Linked DNA regions of Oryctolagus cuniculus. The protein of the gene in region 1 interacts with the protein of each later gene in a biochemical or structural test. Links are inferred from orthologs where the notes say so. Each region holds a gene or a part of one and is shown on either strand. Other genes may lie near its edges.

Evidence for each region. The genes of interacting proteins can lie anywhere in the genome.
Region 2: the proteins of PTPN1 (region 1) and NTRK2 form a complex in vitro, tested with the Homo sapiens proteins (2 studies listed by BioGRID, with this or other methods). The link is inferred for Oryctolagus cuniculus from reciprocal best matches to the Homo sapiens genes PTPN1 and NTRK2.

What each region holds. Positions count from the first base shown.
Region 1 is NC_091442.1:10,256,350-10,259,866, forward strand, and holds part of PTPN1 (tyrosine-protein phosphatase non-receptor type 1), read right to left. Parts: intron 1,203-3,517; coding exon 1,065-1,202; intron 1-1,064. UniProt on the Homo sapiens protein: Tyrosine-protein phosphatase which acts as a regulator of endoplasmic reticulum unfolded protein response. Mediates dephosphorylation of EIF2AK3/PERK; inactivating the protein kinase activity of EIF2AK3/PERK.
Region 2 is NC_091432.1:135,622,137-135,625,653, reverse strand, and holds part of NTRK2 (BDNF/NT-3 growth factors receptor), read right to left. Parts: intron 632-3,517; coding exon 495-631; intron 1-494. UniProt on the Homo sapiens protein: Receptor tyrosine kinase involved in the development and the maturation of the central and the peripheral nervous systems through regulation of neuron survival, proliferation, migration, differentiation, and synapse formation and plasticity.

The DNA.
Region 1 (3,517 bases):
CAGCCTCCGGGCACTTTCACAGGCTGCCCGTGTTATTTCTCAGAACCCCCAGGAAGGCCCCCTGGCCCCCCTAGTTCCCCTCCCGGGGGGGCAGGGGTGGCGCGGGAGTGGCTGCACTTATCCACTCCCCAGTAACCTGTGCTGAGTCCCACTGCTTCCACTCCACAAGACTGCCAGGAGCCACGGGGCCGCACAGCACTATGTGGACAGCTAAGAGGTGACTGTCACGCAGCCCAGCACGCAAGCCCAGTGGGCCCCACCGCCCTCACCCCCCTCCAGGCTGCTACCCTCCACCCCAGCAATCTCAATCACTACACACCACCTTCCCGGAAACCCCTAACCCTATCTGATAGGAGGTGAGAGAGAGGCCAGCATCCCATATGGGCGCGGGTTCGAGTCCTGGCTGCTCCACTTCCCATCCAGCTCCCTGCTGACGCACCTGGGAAGGCAGTGGGAGACGGCCCAGTGCTTGGGCCCTGCTCCCACGTGGGAGACCTGGATGGAACTCGGGGCTCTTGGCTTCAGCCTAGTCCAGCCCTGGCCATCGTGGGAGTGAACCAGCAGACAGAACCCCCCTCTCTCCCCCTCTCTCTCCCTCTCTCTCCCTCTCTCTGCCATTCAGCCTTCCGAATCCACAGTTAAGACAGCTGCAGGTACAGGGGGACCTCGCCTCCAACGCCACGGCTGCAGAGCGGGCGCCGGCGCGGAAAGGCCTCCCCGCCTTGCACTAGAGCAGCCCCAGGGGCACCGGAGCGGGCGGCCCGCTCTGCCGGTGCGGAACTCGCAGCCCCGGCTCGGCCTCGGCCGCCGCACGCACGCACGCACGTGGGTGGGCCACGGTCCCGGCAAGGAACCCCTTCCCCTAAGACCTGTGCCCACGGGGGTGAGGGCTCTGTGGCCCGCCTGTCCTAGCCCTTCCCCAGGCACCTGGTGAGGCTGCAGGAGGCTCTGCCCAGCACATGCCGGCGCCACACCTCGTGCAGGGCGTACACAACCTGGAGACGGCGGCATCAGCGCCTATCACCCCAGGGACCGTCCCCCCAGGGACCACCCGCCATACTCACTGTAAGGTTTTCCAATTCTAGCTGTCGTACTGTGTAGTAGGACTTGATATCTTCAGAGACCAAGGTCAACTTCAGATTTGTGTCATCAAACATCATTTCTTTTTCTTCTCTCTGCGGCCAGTACTGCGCACATTTTAACTAGGGCAGGAAAACAGCAGGTTACCTCGAGCAGTGGACTGTGGCCCTGACGGGCGTGGTGGACGACCACCCAGAGGCCTGGGGACAGGCACAGCGGCGGGGCGCTGAGCACTGTGGGAGGGGACAGAAACAGCAGGTAGGCAGGGGCTGAGCCGCACAATGGCCACCCGATGACTCGGGGCCTCCCTTAATGCACCTGCACGGAGCCACAGGTGGCAGGGGCGGCTTCAGGGCCAGTGCTACAGATGTGCTGCGGGACACGGGGGAGGCAGGTGCTCGATTCCGGCCACAGTTCCAGGACAGCGATCAGAGAAGGCTCTGCGGGAGGCCGCCCAGGACTTCCCAGGGCACGGCTGCGAGGAGCCAGGCTCGGGGAGCAGCAGTGAGCAGGCCCAGCGGCCAGGGGACCTGCTGCAGAGGCTGCAGCCAGGGAGCGGCTCTCGGGAGGGTAAGATGGAGGCACAGGTGTTCGATGGTCCCTCTCCACACCCCAAGGCAAAAATCGAAAGAAAGTAAGAAAGAGCCCCAGGCTGTGAAGCTGGCGCAGGGCTCCTGGAAGAGTGCGGATGCGGCAGGCCAGGGCGAGTCTTGGCACTTTCAGCCCTGTCACCTCCACAAGCTGACCAGGAGCCGCCCATGCCGAGCCTCTGGAGTAGGCGGGACCAGTCTGTGGGTGCAGAAGCCACCCCGTCACCCAGGAAATGGAACGACGCACTATACAGCAAGACCCTTGGTGCCAGAGTGGACGGCAGCTGAAAACTAGACCTTTGAGGAACAGGACAGGATCCCCGCATTGCAACAAAGGGACGCTACAAGGCCTCAGACCCAGCCCAAGACGCTGCCAACAAGGCGGGCAGAGAGAAGGAGGGGCAGGTGCAGAACAGTCTCTCCCTGGGGGGCTGGGGAGCAGGCCACACCGCCTTTCAGCTCTCCACAGCACACACACACTGGCCAGACCAGAGCGGCACAACCTTTGCAATCTGCAGGGATCCTGGCACACGGCTAAGTGCTTGCCAGCCACAATTTATCTCTAAGAACTCTTCAGCAGCTGCAGTAACCTGCTCTATTCCACTGTCATTTCTGGCACAAAGCTTTTAAAAAAGATACAAGATGTAGAATGGGCACATGGCCGCCACCGCTGCTACCCCGCCACGCCGGGCAGCCCTCACCAGGCTCAAAGCAAGGCGCCAGAGAGGGGCTCGGCGGTGCCAGCAGGTGCACTGCCACTTCCACCATGAAGGCAGTCTCAGAGGGGCCTCGGGGCCTTCCAAAACAGCCAGACCCTCGTAAGGAAACTCCTAAGAATCTCACCCACGGGGACCCGGGTGGACGGTTCCGCTTTCCCAAAGAATGAAGCACAGAGTCCGGGCGCCGCAGGAAGCCCAGGGCAGCTGTGGCACAAAAGGCAGCGCCCTGCGCGAGCAAGCACCTGGAACCCAGCCGCCGCGTCGGGCCGCAGGAGCTCCGGCGGAAGCTCTGGAAGGGCGAATCCCACTCGCCCAGCAAAGACCGCCACGTGTTCCTTCCACACTGAGGCGCCTGACGCCAGCTTCCACAGGGAGCCAGTGAAGACCCTGGCCATTGGATGACCCCAGGCTAACGATCACCTCTGCATAACTGGGTTCCTGGACACAGGGGCCCAAAAAGCTAACAGGCAGGTGTGCCCCAAGCAGGAGGGGAGCGCCCTCAGTTACTGTGCGGGGCCAGCTGAGCCTGGACAGCGCTCCTGCCAAGCCGCCTGTCCCGCGGCTGCTGGGCGGTTTGTAGTCGGTCAGCTACCCCATCAGACCGGCACTCCTCAGGCCTCTGAGCCCCGAGATGGGAGTGATGATGGCGGCCGGGACCTGGAAAGGCCGATTCCACAGAAGCGTCAGGAAGCTCCCTGACCCACACGCCGCTTCTCCTGTCCACGGACCCCCGAGAAGGACGGCAAGTTCACACAGGAACACACACGCCGCGAGGAGCCGTGCGGCCATGCTTCCTTGCTGGCTGGCATGGCGGCCCGAGGACAAGGCTGTCGCTGTGGACCCCAGGTCTACTCACGGTCAGCCACAGGTAGGGGACAACCAGGAGCCGCGACCGCAGTGCTGGGCACGGCTCCGCGTTACAACCTGACAACAGCCGCTAAAGCAAGCTGTGGACTAACAGCAAAAAGGTTGTACCGGCTCCTTTAGCAACAGAGAAGCTAATAGGCAACAGTGCTGCGACGGCCGACGACGTCTGAATGAGCGTCTTTGACTAAAACTCCCAGCCCTAGAGCAGCGCTCTGAGCGGTGGGCAGCGGACGAAGTCTGGAGTCCAGCGCGGGCCGTATG
Region 2 (3,517 bases), on another chromosome or scaffold:
AATGAACAGACAAAAACATTCATTAGGATTCACACCCAACAACAAGATATGGAGGGTCTTTTTCCCCCATCTATCTATCTATAAGTAGAGATAAAGATAGATATAATCAGAAAAGCTTCTTGCTTGAATCAAACTCAGGCCAGAGGCAGTCATTGTCATTGTTATTGATATTGTCTTGATCTAGGTACAAAGTGCATACTGTGTGAAGCTCACTTAATCCTTGAATTCCCATCTACCTCTCTCAAAGGGAAAATGCCACAAGCAGAGTCATTCACCTTGCTCACTCACACAAAGAGGTCATCGGGGATAGAAAGAGTCCCCAGTTTATAACTACAATGCAAGCCAGCATGAATCTTTGCTGGTTAAGAATAAATAAACTTATAAATTTCCATGTAAACTATTAAATGAGCATCATGAGGCTTAATTCAATCTTGAGTTCTGAAACACCTATTGTCTTCTCTACTCACACAGAGAGAGCCAAGCCCAAGTCTTACCATGTGCTTGGAAACCAGATTACCGACATCCCAGTACAGATTAGGAACCGGGTCACCTGCCACGTTACAGGACAACGTGATGGATTTTCCTTCCTCCACAGTGAGGTTAGGGGCAGCCAAACTGGCCGATGGCAATCCTGTGGAACAAGAAGAGTCAACAGTCATATACAAATGGTTAAATGCGGTATCAAAATAATAGCAATAGGGGCCGATGCTGTGGCACAGTGGATTAATCCTCTGCCTGAGGCGCCAGCATCCCCTGTGGGCACCGGTTCATGTCCCAGCTGTTCCACTTCCAATTCAGCTCTCTGCTATGGCCTGGGAAAGCAGCAGAAGATGGCCCAAGTCCTTGGGCCCCTGCACCCACGTGGGAGACTTGGAAGAAGCTCCTGGCTCCCAGCTTCAGATCAGCACAGCTCTGGCCATTGCAGCCAGCTGGGGAATGAACTAGCGGATGGAAGACCTTTCTGCCTCTCCCTCTCACTGTCTATAATTCTACCTCTCAAATAAATAAATAAAATCTTAAAACAAAATAACAGCAATAAACTGAAAATTATTTATGCCTTAAAATCAATCACCATTTACTTTCTGCAACAGATCCATGTTGATCTGGACACATGTCAAGTTGATCAGCTTATCAGTGCGATGTGGACAAAAAGATGTATGGTAATAAGAATTGAAAAGAAATTATGTGGATTTCTTGAAACTGTTATTGCAGAGTGGCAATAGCTTTTGAATATCAAAATAAACTAGTTTTTTGAGCCGCGTTTTCCTTCTCTTTCTGCTCGAGTTGCCCCTCCAGCTTTTTGCACACAAACAGCCACTGTACCTTGGGCCAGCATCTCATCTTGCTTGTTAAGCCTGCCTCCTCCTCTCCAATGTTCTTTGGTCAGAAAGGATAGACACATCTACATTTTTAAAAAGATTTATTTCTTTATACGAAAGTCAGACTTACAGAAAGAGAGGAAGAGACTGAGAAAGGGAGATCTTCCATCTGCTGGTTCACTCCCCAGATGGCTGTAACAGCTAAGGCTGGACCAGGCCAAAGCCAGGAGTCTGGAGTTTCGTCCAGGTCTCCCACATGGATAGCAGGGGCCCAAGCTCTTGGGCTATCCTCTGCTGCTTTTCCCAGGCCATTAGCAGGGAGCTGGACTTGGAGCAGCTGGGACGTGAACTGGTGCCCATTTGGCGTGCTGGCATCTCAGGAGATGACTTTACCTGCTATGCCACACACTGGCCCTAAGATACATCTTCATTCTTAAGGGATAAACCCACTTTTTATCTTAAGTAACTCATAAATCGAACCATAAACACAACTCATAAAATCTAACCTAGAATTTGAAAGAGTCTGAATATAAAGAAAAAGAAGTGCTGAAGTGTTTTTCAAAGACATAAATTTCAAACTATCACAATATTGAAATGTCACAAAACTATATAAATCAGAGTTAAATATTGTGAGTAAAATTGGTCATCTTATTTGCAGTATGATGACAAACACTGTATGAATCTCTATTCTAATGAAAACTTCCTTTGTGGAAAAACTGCAAATGTGTTTATCAGATGATATTTTGAACCTTATAAACATGTCCTTTATATTTTAACAGTACATCATTTCTTTAAAGGTTTATTTATTTATTTGAAAGTCAGAGTTACACAGAGAGAGGAGAGGCAGAGAGAGAGAGAGGTCTTCCATCTAATGGTTCACTCCCCAATTGGCTGCCAAGGCCGGAGCTGTGCTGATCCGAAGCCAAGAGCCAGGAGCTTCCTCTGGGTCTCCCACGCAGGTGCGGGGACCCAAGGACTTGGGCCATCTTCTACTGTTTTCCCAGTCCACAGCAGAGAGCTGGATTAGAAGTGGAGCAGCTGGGACTCGAACCTGTGCCCATATGGGATGCCGGCACTGCAGGCAGCAGCTTTACCCGCTACACCACAACGCTGGCCCCAACAGTACATCCTTTTTATACTCTTACATTTCAAAGGCTAACAGTTGTTTTAAGTTGATGCTGCTATTCCTCCATTCACCTGCTACACCTTTGGGTGTGTACACGGTTCTATATTCCAGAGGACCCTAGTGTGTTGTACATGAAAGCAGGTGCCAGAGGGAGTAACGATAGATCAGGTCCTGTCAGTCACATCAGCCCCTCCCCTGGTTTGAGAAACTTTGCTTGGGACTGTGTTCACCCCAGCATCTGTGTCCTACAACACTCCCATACATCATTAGCTCAGAAGTCACCTGGAGGGCAGAACGGGCAATTCATCTTCAACAGCAAGCAGCCTGCCCTGCTAGCAACATCTGACCCACCAGATTCACATTTCTGTGCACGAAGCATCAATATGGAGTAATGTACACCTTTCTCCAAGTGTCAAAGAAACCCCTAAGACACTGAGCTACAAGGGCAAGGAAGTGTGTGAGAATGACTACAGGAGAGCAGAGTGTACAGGAATGAGCTCGAGCCCCTCAAACTGTGCTTTCTTCACAATGTCAGTGACCATCGGGTTTATAATTTACTAAGGCACATGTTAAGGCAATATATAAGAAATGGACTGAGAGAGAAACCTTCTTGAAATCAGAAGTATAATCAGTGACTCCTCAAAAATATATTTTGTTTTGTAAAAATCAAATATGTTAGAACTGGCGCTGTGGTGCAGTAGGTTAATCCTCCAACTGCAGTGCCGGCATCCCATATGGGCGCTGGTTCGAGTCCCAGCTGCTCCTCTTCCGATCCAGCTCTCTGCTACAGCCTGGGAAAGCAGTAGAGGATGGCCCAAGTCCTTGGGCCCCTGTACCCAGGTGGGAGACCGAGAGGAAGCTCCTGGCTTCTGGCTTTGGATAAACTCAGCTCTGATCACTGTGGCCCTTTGGGGAGTGAACCAGTGGATCTAAGACCTTTTCTCCATCCTCCCTCTCACTGTCTGTAATTCTACCTCTCAAATAAATACATAGAATCTTTTAAAAAAATCAAATGTATTGTCACACAGTTTGAAGACTATAAAATTCACCAGAGAGTCTAGATTTCTTTTCT